Ovis aries: one gene and its partners. The protein of the gene in region 3 interacts with the protein of the main gene of each other region in a pairwise test. Links are inferred from orthologs where the notes say so. Each region holds a gene or a part of one and is shown on either strand. Other genes may lie near its edges. The genes, in order: ARHGAP26, CASS4 and CDC42EP2.

What was found.
Region 1: the proteins of CDC42EP2 (region 3) and ARHGAP26 interact in binary tests that used the Homo sapiens proteins (3 or more experiments, as listed by UniProt). The two-hybrid records come from large-scale screens. The link is inferred for Ovis aries from reciprocal best matches to the Homo sapiens genes CDC42EP2 and ARHGAP26.
Region 2: the proteins of CDC42EP2 (region 3) and CASS4 interact in binary tests that used the Homo sapiens proteins (3 or more experiments, as listed by UniProt). The link is inferred for Ovis aries from reciprocal best matches to the Homo sapiens genes CDC42EP2 and CASS4.

Annotation. Positions count from the first base shown.
Region 1 is NC_056058.1:51,459,548-51,464,938, forward strand, and holds the start of ARHGAP26 (rho GTPase-activating protein 26), read left to right. Parts: upstream 1-1,559; 5' UTR 1,560-1,904; coding exon 1,905-2,058; intron 2,059-5,391. UniProt on the Homo sapiens protein: GTPase-activating protein for RHOA and CDC42. Facilitates mitochondrial quality control by promoting Parkin-mediated recruitment of autophagosomes to damaged mitochondria.
Region 2 is NC_056066.1:59,155,127-59,159,317, reverse strand, and holds the end of CASS4 (cas scaffolding protein family member 4), read left to right. Parts: intron 1-1,351; coding exon 1,352-1,762; 3' UTR 1,763-2,846; downstream 2,847-4,191. UniProt on the Homo sapiens protein: Docking protein that plays a role in tyrosine kinase-based signaling related to cell adhesion and cell spreading. Regulates PTK2/FAK1 activity, focal adhesion integrity, and cell spreading.
Region 3 is NC_056074.1:39,966,622-39,972,012, reverse strand, and holds the start of CDC42EP2 (cdc42 effector protein 2), read right to left. Parts: upstream 3,063-5,391; 5' UTR 2,990-3,062; intron 1-2,989. UniProt on the Homo sapiens protein: Probably involved in the organization of the actin cytoskeleton. May act downstream of CDC42 to induce actin filament assembly leading to cell shape changes. Induces pseudopodia formation in fibroblasts in a CDC42-dependent manner.

The DNA of each region.
Region 1 (5,391 bases), on a different chromosome or scaffold from region 3:
CTGAGGAACAACTATTTTCAGACTTTTAATTATCCATTTGATAACTGTTTGGGCCTGCTATCAAATCTAAATTTGTAGCTACAACTGGCAAACAGATCACATTCATTCATTCATGCATTTAATAAATCAATACCTCCATGTAGATGACTTCTCTAGCTCCCGAGTTAGCATTGCCTTCTCAACGTTCCCAACTTACTATGCAGCATTGCTATTGCTTGTCGCTTTTCTATCCCACTAACCAGTAGCAGACAGGTTCATTCTGTGTTATTCATCTTCGCATCTTTAGTATCTAGTCTAGTGCCTGCACATAGCAGACCTATGTAAAAACAAAAACAAAGACAACCAAACAAACAAAAAACAAGCCACATACACACACACAAAACCACCTAACTGGAGGGCTCCTCCTTCCTAGACATACGAATAATTTATTCAAAGACAGTCCCTTTCCTCTAGCACTTCATAGTTCAGCACTGGACACTGTGGGATCCAGACTGACAGGTGCAGTTAGTGAGCTGCCTGGATTGATTACTGTGGTGGAACCCAAGGGCAATAGGGCAACACATTACAGGAAAGTGGAAAGTGGAGAAAGACACGGGAACGGATCCATTCGTTTATTCCACAAATCCTTATCAATCGCCGTTGCACATATAGCACAAGGGAAGCGCTCAGTATCTGTTACTAGATGCCAGCCACTGTTCTAGGCGTTAGGGATGCCGCAGCGCACAAGAAAGCGGCGGTGGCTCATTTCGTAGTCTTGAAGCTCACAGTATTTATTGCAAAGGACTACAGGCAGTGGACGTAATTATGTAAAATTGTGTGAGGTGCCCAGCAGGAAAACAGGCGGCTGAAATTCTTGAAAGGATGTTAGATCTTTCGGTTGGGGGCAGCCGTGGGCGGGTTTTGAGCAGGAGTGGCCTTGAGGGGGCCGGACTGTAGGGGGCGGGAAGACTGCAGGCCAGAAGAGCTGGTAGTTTTAAGATGTAAGTATGTTTTGCTTGAGTGGAAGAAGGAGCTTGTGTCTAGGGGCGACGTGGTCGCTTGGTACGCTCGGGGTTCTCCTGGGACGTGCGCGAGTGCTAAGTCGCTTCAGTTGTGTCCGACTGGGGAATGCATTTTGAGTGTAAGCACGATTGCCTCAGCCTTAGGGGAACTGCAGCCCTAAATTCCTAGATTTTTCATGTTCGGCACATCTAGGCTCCTCCGCTTCCCAGATATGCAGACGCACCGTCTCCGGCTCGGATCCCGGCCGCTGCGCTGGCCCATTCGGCAGCAATCTTCGTTCCTTCCCGGCTCCGACTGTGCAACCCAGAGCAGACGGGAGAGGGCGGAGCTTGTGCTGCGGACCTAGGCGGTGGCGTGGGCCACGCCCCCGACTTAGACCCCGCCTCTGGACCCCGTTGATTGGGTTATGGTCGCGGAAGGGCCGGGCATCCTCGGAAGGCCCGTGGGTAGGGCTGAGACGGGGTTCTGATTGGCTTGGCTGGGATTAGGTCATTGCTAGCAGGTTCGTCCGGCTCGGACGCCGGCTGGGCGGCCGAGGCTGCTGTGAGAGGGCGCTCGAAGCTGCAGGAGAGCGAACTGGCGAGGGAGGCGGGCAGGCGGCTGCTGCACTCGCTCGACTGGTCGTTCCCTTCCCGTCGCCGCTGCGGGTCCTCAGCTGCTCTTCCTGCTCCGCGCCCTCTCGGTTACACGCCGTTGGAGCAGACGCTCTTCGTTCGCCTCCAGGCTCTGTTCAGGAATCGTGCGCGCCCGCGGACACCGCGCTGAGACCGAGCCGGCGCCACACCTGTGGAGCCGGCGGCCGTCGGGGGTGCCGGCCAGGGTCTCGCCGCGTGCGTGCTCCGGGCTGCGGGCCGCCGGAGCCCTGGGGGAGGCGCGCCCCCCGGCTGGGCGCCGCGGACACCATGGGGCTGCCCGCGCTCGAATTCAGTGACTGCTGCCTCGACAGCCCTCACTTCCGAGAGACGCTGAAGTCGCACGAAGCGGAGCTGGACAAGACCAACAAATTCATCAAGGAGCTCATCAAGGACGGGAAGTCACTCATCAGCGCGCTCAAGAGTGAGTGCCCGGGAGCCTGGCGGGGACGGTGCTCCGGGGCGGGAGGGGCCGTCGGGCGGCGCTCAGACCTAGGGGTCCCGCGCCCGGCTGGATTTCTGCCCCCGGGCGCTGAGGGACGGGCGTAGACCTTTGTCGCGAAGCGGAAAGGATACGTAAAATGGGCGAGCTAGCAACAAGACAGTGAAGGCAGAGACCCGTCACCCGGCCGTTTGCGTTCCGAGGGGACTGGGAGGTGACCGAGCGCGAGTAGCGCTCTGGGGCGCCGCGGGTGGGTGTGCGCGTCACACAGGTGTCTCAGGAGTGGGACTGGAGTGCCTGGAGCACCGTAGCATATTGGGAAACCCCTTCGCGTCCACGACTCCGGCTTCCTTGGGGGAGAGTTGCTCACCCCTGAGTGCCCAGCCGTGGGAATGGAGCGTGCCCTGCCAAGGGGGCGCTGCCTCCCCTCAGGAAAAGGCGGGTTGTGCCTGCTTCACTCCCGCCTGCTCAGGGCCGCCGGGGTCTCCGAGAGATCTCCTTCCCTTCCCAGAAAAGGGCTGGGTAGGGTGGTTGGTCAGCTCGCGATTCTTTGGAATAGTGGCAGCTTTTAACCCACCAGATCTAGAATCAGGGCCACGTACGTGTGCAGGTTCTGATTCTTGTGTTTAGCAGAAGGTGATAGGGGTGGGAGTACAGAATCAGAGTGTTCCTTTACTCTAAACTGTGGGCGAGGGTTTAAAAATAGAACGAACATATCCTCTCCCTCTCTCGCTCCCTCACTCTGCTTTTTTTACCTCTCCCAATATCCTTGAAAACTCAAAGGTTTGGGAAGGAATGTCCTCGATCTTCGCTCAGAAAGAAGTTTAAACTTATCCTTAGAGATTTTCGAACCTTTTGCAAAACCATTTTTGCAAATTTCCCTTTGGCAGGGGAGAAATGAAATTTACATTCTGTGTATGATTTCCCTTGTCATTTGCAGAGCCAGAGAGTGTCTCCTTCTGGCCAAACGAGTGCTCTAGGGATGGATGCCTTGGATTGCTGAGCTCCTTTTTTTGGGTGCCTTTCCTGTCTACCCATTTAAGAATAATTTGGTCCATCTTTTATTTTTAAGAATCAGAAATAACATAAAGGCAGATAGTGGAATTGTCTTTCACTTGACTTTTCCTTTCTCTTTGCTGCATTTCTTAATAGGTGATATCTTTCAACTAGGAAAGCTTGTCTTGGCAGAGTGCAGCCGTGGGCCTGAGAATTGTCACCAAGTCTCTTTGAAGGAGACTTAAAGTCAAGTGCCTGAGATGTCATTTTGTGAGCCTGTTGTTTCTAAAGATGAAGAAGACAGAGGAGCCCCAGGGCAGCAAGTGGTAGTCTTTTGAGGTGAAATAAAAGTAGAACTTTGGTGTGCTGAGGCTCTTCAGAGGCAGGGTCTCTGTTGGAGGTTGTGACCAGAAGCAAATGAATAGACTCTTCTTTTGTTGATGACCAGGGCCGTCCTTAGAATATGTGACCCCTAGTTTGGACTAAGTTAGGGGCTCACTTACAGGTTGGGCCCACACATTTTGTTTGAATCTCAGACTGGCTTTAATTGGGCCTCTGCTTTATTCAGCAAACATCTGGAGTGCCTGCTGTGTGCTCGATATTACCCTGGGCACTGAGGATGTAGTAGTGACTGTTCTGTTGTTCCTGTGGCTGTGGAGACTTACTCCAAACTAGGCACTGCTTCACCCACAAATTATCTCACGTATTATAACTCATCTTTCAAATGAGAAAGCAGGCTTGAAAGAATCACTGGCTGAGAGTCTCACCGCTCTAAGAGCAGGGCTGTTTTTGTCTCCCGCAGGGTCTGAGCCAGAGATGAAGTTCCTGCTGATGTTGAGCTCTTAATTCTGTCTCATTCCTCTTGCCCAGAATGGAGCCCCTGGTCCGAGAGTGTTGGAATTTGGACTTGCATTTTGTATCTTAGCCTTGAGTCTGAGGAAGATGCCTTTATGTGATTGGCAGTTTATCTGCTTGCCACTATTTTTAAGGTGTGTATGGGGGAGGAACTTAAGAATTCTTTGGGTAGGAGGAAACAGTACAGGTGATAAAGAGTTTTTTAAATTGTCTAATGAATGGACCAGCTCTATAACTTGGGGGAGAGCTAGGTGTTCTAATCTCTTAATATCTAGCTCTATTACTAACTATTCTCTTCTACTCTTATTAGTGCTTGAACAGGTGCCACATGCCCTCTTAAAGAGGGTGGAGAGGATTATTAATTCCTGAACTTCAGGCATTGTGTTATCATTGGGTCCTTCTTGCATGGTATATTACTATGCTAGTATATGTGTATTCATTTTCTTTGGATCATCTTTATCACTTCTGCAAAATGTAAAGCGTTTTAAAAAATATATATATAAAAATACATAATTGTGTAAAAGTAACATTGGTTTAGATGATTTATAGGCTCTTCCCTCTCTAAAATTTTATGGCTTTACTTTATAATTAGTATGCACAGATTTTTGGGTTTAGATTTCCTTTGTGTGTTAATCTGAGGCAATAATACTGGCCTCCAGGGATTGCTGAAGTTCAGCTAGATCATTGCTCTTTATGAATGAGGAAACTGAAGATCAGAGAGATCAGTAACCTGCCCAAGGCATCACAGCAGTTAAGTGTACTTAAACATAAGTTATCTGATTCCAGAGCCTGTGCACTTAACTGTGAAGTAGAAATGTTGTGTAGGTCTGTTGTCTATTGAATACCCTTGAGAATCTGGTAAACAAGGCAGCTAAGCAATAAAATAATTTGGGACCTGCATTTCAAAAACTCCTGCCTTTGGAGAAAGTTCTTGTTTGATGTGGTGACTCCCAGTCAATTTCTTCTGTGCTAATTTGTCTAGGCATTTTCTGTGAGCACTCTTTCCTTAACCTGATTAATCTGTCTCAGTCCAGAGGATTCAGTATGCTTTGGTCCTTTTTTCTTTCTGGAGAGATAATAGAGGCTGGCGATGACGTTCAGACTTGTAGAATTAAGGGTTTTAGGATTTTCTGTGTTCTTGACCTTATCACTTACTGGACAAGGCACTAAGCCTGAGCTCCTCCTGTGTAAAATGGGAAGAGCCACGCTGACCTCCTAGGGCTGTTGTGAGCACGAAATGAAACGTGCATGTAAAGAAAGCACTTGGCTTAGAGCCTGGTGTGTAGTGCTGCTTAGTTAATGGCAGCTATTATTATCTTCCAGAATGTCAAGACTCAGAGCAAGAGTCACTAATAGCAGAATTGTCTACACAAGTGCACTGAACTTCATTTCTGTCTGTCTCATGGACTTCATGGCAAACCAAATGTGATTTCATAGAACTGGGAAAGTGAATTAGGCTTTCGG
Region 2 (4,191 bases), on a different chromosome or scaffold from region 3:
ACTTGGCTTAGAGCTCCAGAGCTTTTTTTCAGTATTTATTTATATATTTGGCTGCACCACGTCTTAGTTGTGGCATGTGGGATCTAGCTCCCTGACCAGGGATTTAAGCCTGGGTCCCTCCATTGGGAATGTGAGTCTTAACCACTGGACTGCCGGGGAAGTCCAGCCCTCCAATCTTTATTTTGCTAATTGAGTGACCCTAGGTGACCTCTTCTCTTCCGGGATACTCAGTCTCCTCACCTATCACCTAACAAAGGGGATTTTGATTGTTACCTGGGGTGGCTGACACTAAATTTGATGCTGAGAATCTTTCACTAGTGAATAGGCTTTGGCGCCACATTGCAGAAAATAAAATTAACGAAAGTAAAATTCTAAATGAAACTTTAACTAGCAAGTAAGATAAATATTTTAATCTTGAAGCAAATAGGTCAGTATATTTTGATTTCTTTTGGAAATTTGGGGGAATTCAAGTTTACCTCTTATACTGGAATTAGGAAGGATTTTTTTGTAATGCTTTAAAACCTATTCTTTGAGTAAATTTTAAAATTACTCAATTTAAAATTTTAAAATTGCTCACCATCAACTCTCCTGCATTTTTTAAAATTTATAAATTTAGGGGACTTGGCTGTGGTCCAGTGGTTAAGACGTTGCCTTCCAGTGCAAGGGGTGTGGTTTGGGAGCTAAGTTCCCACATGCCTGGAAGTAAAAAAAAAAACAAAATGTAAAGCAGAAGCAATATTGTAACAAATTCAATAAAAACATTAAAAAAGGATCAACATAAAAAGAAAAAACTTTTAAAAAAAGGTATAAATTTAGTCATTGTCAGTAAGTTTCTTAGAATGGGTTTGTAATTGTTTGTTGAGAGGATTGAATATAATTTTATGTATATCTAATATGAATGATTATATATAACACAATATATAAGATTATATTTATAAGGAAGCTTTAAAAAGGATTTCCCTGGTGGCTCAGCAGTAAAGAACCTCCTTGTCAATGAGATGGCAAGGACCCAGGATTTGATCCCTGGGTCGGGAAGATTTCCTGGAGGAGGAAATGGCAACCTACTCCAGTATTCTTGCCTGGAGAATCCCATGGACAGAGGAGCCTGGCGGGCTACAGTCCTTTGGGTCACAAAAGAGTTGGACAGGATTTAGCAACTAAACAACACAACATGCTTTGAATTAACATTAATTTGTTAGGCAGAATGTTACACCTGCACATGGAGCTTCCCAAACAAAACTATACTTTTTCTTATAAAAAGTCTGCAAATTAAGCAAAAACAGGAGAAGAGAGACAGTCACAGCCTGTTGCTCGCATCTCTCTAATCTGTCATCTTCTTCCCCTTCTCTAGAATTCCAGCTCCCTGGTCCCCCGGCCTTTGAGTCAGCAGAATCCTGAGAAGAAAATTCGCCTTTCTGAACATTGCCGCCTCTATTTTGGGGCGCTCTTCAAAGCCATCGGCGTGCTGAACAGCAGCCTCCAGAACAGCCAACCCCCCGAGACCTTCATCACGCAGAGCAAGCTGGTCATCACGGTCGGGCAGAAGCTGGTGGACAGGCTGTGCCGGGAGACCCAGGAGCGGGACGTGCGCAATGAGATCCTGAGAGGCAGCAGCTGCCTCTGCAGCCTGCTCAAGGACTTAGCGCTGGCCACCAAGCAAGCCGTGCTCCAGCACCCCAGCCCCGCCGCCCTGCAGCACCTCCAGGCTGAAGCCAAGAAGCTGGAACAGCATGCACAGCAATTCAGGGGGATGTTGGAATAAGCCTCCTTCTCCCTGTTAAACTCTTCACTTCAGTTGCACACCCACAACCTGTGCAAGTCTGTCCTCTGGGAAAAACCAACCTGGGGGTATACAGTGGATGGCAATCGTCATGGTGCCCAAACCCAGTGTTACCGAGGGTCTGGGCAACTCCAGGGTATTGGCTTATCCCACAGAGTCAGGGAGGAGTTAGGTGTGAAGAAAGGACCTATCGTGTAGGGCCAATGTGTGAAATGAGGTTGTGGAATCCAGTTTTTTATATTAGCTCAATGTGTGCCTGTTTTAAGTTCATTCATTCATTCAGTACTTATTTATTGGGTATCTATTGTATGTTAAATTCTAGGTGCTGGGCATGTAGCACTGAATCAGACCAAGGCTTTGCCCTCAGGGCATTTACAGTCTAGTGGGGAGACAGACAAATGATGAAGAAGTGCATACACAATATATTAGGTGCTAGGGAGAAGCCTACTTTGGGGCTTCTTTGGGGGCTCAGTGGTAAAGAACCCACCTGCCAATGCAGGAGACGTGGTTCGATCCCTGGTTTGGGAAGATCCCCTGGAGAAGGAGATGGCAACCCACTCCAGTATTCTTTCCTGGGAAATCCCATGGACAGAGGAGTTGGGCAGACTACAGTCCATGGGTTGGCAAGAGAGTCAGACATGACTGAGCGACTGACTAAACAACAGGGAGAAAATAGAATATGAGAATGGGGGCAGAGATTATTTTCAAGTGATTAATTTCTGTTGCATCTGCTAGAAAATGTAGTAAAATTTTCAGTTTGGATAGAATTAATTCTGTGAGACTGGTACAAATTCTGTATCTGTGACTTATACCAAATATGTATATATATATTTGCTGTTTTATCTGAACAGAGTTAAACAGCATGTTATAAGTAGCAGTAAATTTGTAACATAATATGTTCTATTGGGTTCCCTATTTATTTTGTACATTATAGATTCTGTGTTAATAAATTCAACACATGGATTGAACGTTTAGTATGTTCAATCAGAAAAGGTTTATACCTCAATAGTCTCAAATGTGTTACCATTTATAATATTATGTCAATACAGTCATGAATTGAAACGTCCTTTGCACCAGTCTTTTCTTTGGAAAGATGTTTGATCTTTGTCACTTGGGTTCTGGTACCAAAGCAAAATGTTTATTTGTGTCACGCGAATGCTTCTCCCCAAAGTGTGCAAGGAGAGGAAGTAGAGGCCAAGTTTGCACATGCACCGCTAGCTCGGGAAAAGTAGAGCCAGGAAGTGTGGTATAAACAGCATCCCTATCACTGGGCACAGATCTGAGAGTGACCCAGAATTCCCCCTACTCCCCCGCGCCAAGTCAAACACCTCCTCTTCCTGTCCTTGCAGCTGGGGCTTTAGTTCACGTTTCTATGGTTACCTCATCACTTCAAGTGGAGGTTCAGGTCTTCTATGTGCCCCTCTGCCATGAGCCATCTCTAGGCTGGAAATTACCTGAAATGGTACCAGCTGCAGTTCCTATCTGCTACTCTGCACTTTTAAATTGTTGACTACCAAAAGACTGATTGTATACATGGAGTTACTCTCAGGGTCCCTAAAGAAGGATGCTGTCCTGGTGAGGCTTGGTTCTCTGCGCTAGACTAGAGACATTTTCTGGGAGCAGCCATGATCTGTGTCAGTTAGGACTCCTGATACCATCTCTCTTAAGCAATAAAAGGAATGTATTGACTCAAGTATCTTAACATAATCCAGGGGCAAGCTGGCTTCCAAAACAGCTGCTTTGGATACCCCCAGCAGAATCATCAAGGCCCAATTTATGAACCCCACTTTCTCTGTGTTAGCTCTCATGGTTTCAAGGTGTCTGCCATGAGTTATGGTCTTTCTTGGTCTATGGCCAGAGGGGAAGAAAGAGTCTTCTTTTCTGCTTGGACTAGTTTAGATCAGATGTCTGCCCCTAATAACTCCATGGTAAGACAGGGGTATAATACCTGAGGTGTCCTAGACCTGAGATTCACCCCTACACACAGACACACAGACACACAGACACACACACACACACACACACACACAGAGCCATGTGTTCCTAGACAGATAAGGAGATGGCTCTAGCAAGAACTGTGAAATGTCTTCCCTTACTTCAAAGTAACAAGTCAGCCTGCCATAATCTCATGGATGCTGAGAGAAGACATGAGATTCTGGGGTAAGAGACCATGTCAGGGGTACCCAAGACCACCCTGAGGCCCCCTGATTCGGTAGGAAGCTTCACAGGTTCCCACATATAGTATCTCACCACTCTGATCTATCACAATGAAAGGAGACAGAGCAAAATCTGCAAAGGGAAAGGTCATGTGGGAATGAAGCGCCAGGGCAGGCTCAGGCTGGCAAGAGTTACCTAGGACCTCCTTAATTCCCCTAGCTGGGAGCCATGACAATATACAGGGAGTGTGGCCC
Region 3 (5,391 bases):
TTTATGAGCACATATTATTCATGTAGTCAGAATAAACACAGATATTTTGAAGGTGGAAAAAATAAATACACTCTGGAGGGATGTCATACAGGTTTAACAGAAAAAGGAAGTGGAACAAGCACTGCCTCTAGTTCCCGCAGCAGGGGACTGGCCTGATGTGTAGAATCAGCACGAAAGGCAAAGAAACTTGTCCAAAGTCGCCCAATGGGTGACCACGTGAGCCCACCCTCCTGGGGCCAGGAGGGGCTGAGCAGGTGGGAAATCGCTGGGGAAGGGTCAAGAAGCCTCTGCCAGTTCCTCTGCTCCATTCTTCTTCTTCTTTTTTTTTTTTAATTTATCTGACTGTGTCGGGTCTTAGTTGTTGCACTAGGGTCTTTAGTTACAGTAAGCAAACTCTTACTTGTGGCACATGGGATCTTCTAGTTCCCTGACCAGGGATTGAACCCAGGATCCCTGTATTGGGAGCACGGAGTTTTAGCCACTGGACCACCAGGGAAGTCCCCTCTGCAGCATTCAGCCTCAGGAGCAGGGTGAAAGAAGAAGGAGGGGGCTGGCAGGAGGGAGCAGGAAGGAGGAAGGAGGATGCAGGAGAGGCAGAATCCCAACTACAGCCCTCCCCCCAGCCAGGCCCTTACTCAGGAAACCCCACCCCAGGACCGGACAGCTCGGGTCAGTGGTGCTGAGCCAGAGACCGGACATCTTGCCCCTCCCAGAGCACCTGCAGCTTAACAGGAAACAAAGGAATGACTCTCCAGTGGCAGAATTCCAGCTAAGCTTGGAAGGAGCTGGGGGGGCAGGGGAGGGAGGCAGGACGTGCTCTGAGGTCCTGGACTCCCATCACTCATTTACCTAAAAGACATTTATCTGTGCCCACCATGCCAGGTCTGGAGGCATGCTGACATATATCCTATCTGTCCCCTTGGCAGGCGAGAAATCCTGGGATAGTTTTCCTTCCTTTTCACTCATGGAGAAGGAGGCCAACTGGTGGGATCTGCCCAGAACTTGGGCCAGACCTCCCCCCTCCTCCCACCCTCCATCATACAGGGCCGCCAAGACAGCCTGAGTGTTTCCACAACAGATCCGGCGTCCCTGACAGCTCTCGAGCTCTGAGCCAGATGTATCCACCCAATTCCAGATGTGAGGAGAACTGAGGCTGGGGGGGGGGAGGGTTGGGCCAGTGTCAACCACCAGGGGAGAGCTGGGAACTGCAACCATCAAGCCCCAAATATTCAGATTTGGCAACTCCAAGACCCCACGCTCCAGCTAGGCTTGCATGGTTTCCAATTTAACCTCCGAGGCACAACACAGTGTCATCACTGGCCTTTACAGAGGCAGAAGCTGAATCTCAGAGACATCAAGCAACTCTGCCCAGATAACCCAGCTAGTAAGAGGAAGAGTGGGCACGGCTACCCAGCTGAGTCCAGTGGCTCTGATACAATGGGCCATGCCAAAATATGTGCACTGCCTGGGGAGCAAGAGGGAAACGGATCCACCTGGGCTGGGGTTGCCAGGTCCCCAAGCCTCCTCCATTTAAGTCCTACCTCTTGGCTGCTTCCATCTCTCAACGTGCAAGTGTCCAGATATATGAGAATGAGCTGTCCATCAGGACAAGGCTCTAGGGGCTGGGCTGGGCTGTGCTGCACCCTGCAGCTTTGGAAGGAGTAGATAGGAGCCATCCCAGCTCTGTGGGCCTGCTCTGGAAAGAGCCCGGGGCCTCCTTCAGAGGTAATGACTTCTTGGAGGCAGAGCCCCCTCCTCACAAGGAATACTAGGCCACTCCCCACCAGGGATGATCCAAAGGTAGGCCCCCAACCTTGAACCCATTGCTACCTGGAAAACATCTTTTCTCTCTGGTCCTCACCTTCCTCATCCATGAAATGGGATGACAACAAGGCCATTACCAGGGAGTTACTGGAAGTCAGAGAGAGTGTGGATGTAGGAGGGGGTTAGCGGGTCACTGTCAGCCTCGACATTTATTCAACAAATAGCTATAGGGACTTCCTCAAGCATTCTGGTTCTCCGGGGACAGTGCTCCAGACAAGACCGAAAAAGAGCAGCCCCTGGGCGGCGGGGTCCTCCAGTACAGGCGCCCTCGCTGGCCGCGGGGTCTCCCAACTTCCCTGTGCAGAGCAGCGCTCGGTTCCGTGGCCACCAGGTGGCGCGCGCTCTCCCTCTACCGCTCCTTGTCCCGGAGGGGTCCTGCACGCACCGGGGTCTCGAGCGAATCTACAGTTCTAGGCAGGCGCCTCCCAAGGAGACGCACGCACGTTCGCGTACCAGGTGGGGACTGTCTGCAGGATTTTCTTCCCTTGGAGGATTCTGGGCTCACAACCAGACAATAGGGGGAAGAGGGAGCGATCGGGGACCCTGCCCGGTTATCCAAGCTCAGGGAGGGGCCTCCCCTGTGCTTTCCGGCCTAGGCGATGTCCGAGTGTCCGCTCGGCGCAGGGCCAGAGTTCGGGCGTGCGGCCCCCGCCCCGTGGCTCCGGCGGGTCCTGCTACTCAGCCCCAGCTCCGGTTCCGGGGCCGACCCCCTCCCCGCCCTCTATTCGAGCGCAGCCCAGCCCAGTCCGGATCCGTTTCAGGACACTCGCGGCCACGGCTAAAGATAGGAGGACACCTCACCGTCTACTAAAAATACGACCCCGGGTCCAGGCGAGAGCGCTGAAAGGCAGGAGGGCACTCCCGGGTCCCGGGGGTGGGGCGGGGGGCCCGGCGCAGCATGGAGGACTGGACCAGGAATTTGGGTTCGGGATGCGCGGCGCCCAGCAGGCCGAGGGGAACGCGGGCGTGGCCGCCGGGACCGAGGCGCGGGTGAGAAAGGCCGTGCATCTCACGGCAGAAAGGACCTACGTAGAGATGAGTTGGGGCCCGAGGCGCGATCAAGGATGAGGCGCCTTAAGGATGGGCCTCTAGAGGGACACCCCCCGCCTCACCCCGCCCCGCCCCAGGAGCCGCGGTCTGGCTGCAGAGTCGGGCCTGAACTCACCTTGACGCGCGTTTAGGCGGCTGACCCGAGAGAGGCGAAAGCGCAGGAGCTGGACCGCGCGGCGGTGGGATAGACCTGAGCTGCGAACTTACAGGGAAGACCGTGGCCCCTGAGGCCCCGCCCCCTGCCCGTAGAGCCAATGCCGGGGCCGCCCCATCTAGGCCACACCCACAGCCTCGCCCCACTCGCGGGCCCGCTTCGGCTCCCTCTTCCCAGGCGCAGCGTAGAGGTCCGGCAGCCGCGGGGACCCGGGGGTCCAGTCCGAGCTCGGGAGGCTGCGGGCCGGGCCGCGTCGGGTAATGGAGCTGGACTCCGCGGACTCCGGCTATGTCCGTCAGAGCCAAAACTCTCGGTTCTACGACGGCCGAGGGGGGAGGTAGCCGGAAGACCGAATTCTTTAGAATTCAGAAGAGAAGCGTCCCCGGAGGGTTCCCTCCCTGGAGGGCACTGGCATAAAAGTATTTAGTGACTGCTGAGGAAATGAATGAGGCCTCGGAGGCGCTTACGTCAATACATTACAGACTTCCGAGAGCTTTCAAAAGTTTGCCGTCTCCTAGAAAGGAAGGCTTTGGGGGTGTGCGCGGGATGAGTGGCCCGGCCACTCCCGTATTTACCGTATTTATCTTCAGGCTAGGTGGCTTCCGGGGCGGGGGTGGGACTGGTACTCAGACTCTTTACAAGATTGGGTGGGGCTTGAGCTGCTGCAGGGTGAGGTCCTGGGGCTCGCCAATGGTGCTGACCACGAGGATTATTGATTGGTTGGTTGGTGGGTTCATTCGTTCATTCAGTGGAAGAAACATTTACTGAAAGGCATACCCTGCAAAGGGTGGATGGTACTGAGGTAAGGGGACCTGAGAGCTGTGACAGTACAATATGACCAAGATGATAAAATCTTCCATTCTGTAAATGTGGGAGGGACTCGAGGAGAGGGGGGTCAGGAAGGCATCCTGAAGGAGGGAAGGATGCTGAGGGTGGAGGTGAAGGTCCGCTAAGCCAGGAGGGAGGGAAGGATGGGGAGAAGCAGAATCCAGTAGGCAGAGTAATGGCTCCCCCTAAAGAGGGGCAACCTGTGAATGTATTTTGTTACATGGCAAAGAACAATTAAGTTTGCCAATGGAATTAGAGTTGCTAATCAACTGACTTTAAAACAGAGAGATTGGGACTTCCCTGGTAGTCCAGTGGTTAAGAAGCCACCCTGCAATGCAAGGGGCATGGGTTCTACCCCTGGGTAGGGAACTAAGATCCCACGTGCAGCAGAGAAACTAAACCGGTGCACCCCCAACTAGAGAGCCCTTGTGCTGCAACAAAAGATCCCACATGAGGCAAGAAAGACCCAACACAGACAAATAAATGAGTTTTTAAAAATTGTGTTGTGCTTTTAAAAAACAAAACAAAAAACCAGAGAGATTATCGGAATTATCTGGGTGGGTCCAGCACAATAATGACTGATGGTTCTTAAAGTGGAAGAGGGAGACTGGAGTGTCAGAAAAAGAGATGTGATGATGCAGAAACTCTGTGTTGCTGCTTAGGAAGATGGAGGAAGGGGCCACAAGCAGGCCAGCCTCTAGAAGCTGGAAAAAAACAAGGAAGCGGGTCGTCCCCTCGAGCATCCAGAAGAAACACAGCCCACTGAGCTTGATTTTAGACCCATGTTGGAACTTCTCATCAATGGGACTGGAAGTTTATAAATTTGTGTTGTTTTAAGCCTCCAGCTTATGGATGTGAGAGCTGGACAATAAAAAACGGCTGAGCACCGAAGAATTGGTACCTTTGAACTGTGGTGCTGGACAAGACTCTTGAGAGTCCCTTGGACTGCAAGGAGATCAAACCAGTCAATCCTAAAGGAAATTGGTACTAAGTATTCATTGGAAGGACTGATGCTGAAGCTGAAGCTCCAGTACTTTGGCCACCTGATGTGAAGAGCCGATTCATTGAAAAAGACCCTGATGCTGGGAAAGATTGAAGGCAGGAGGAGAAGGGGATGACAGAGAGTGAAATGGTTGGATGGCATCAGCAGTTCAATGGATATGAGTTTGAGCAAGCTCTGGGAGTTGGTGAAGGATAGGGAGGCCGGCATGCTGCAGTCCGTGGAGTCCCAAAGAGTTGGACAGGACTGAGCGACTGAACAACAAAGCCCCCATGTTGGTGGCGATTTGCTACAGTAGCAATAGAAAACAAATGCAGGGAAGTTTCAACTTTTAATCTAGAGCCTTCCTGGCCGCTCCTTCAACTCCCCAAGGAGCATCAGTTAGGTGGATTCTGCCAGGACTGGCCTAGTGGCTCAGAGGAAAGCTGAGACCTGGACAGTGGAGGGAGGGGGCCCTAGGCCAAGTTGTGGTGTGGGTGGGTAAGTATTGTACCTTCCCCATTCCTACCACCCAGGCTTTGTCAGCCACCAACTC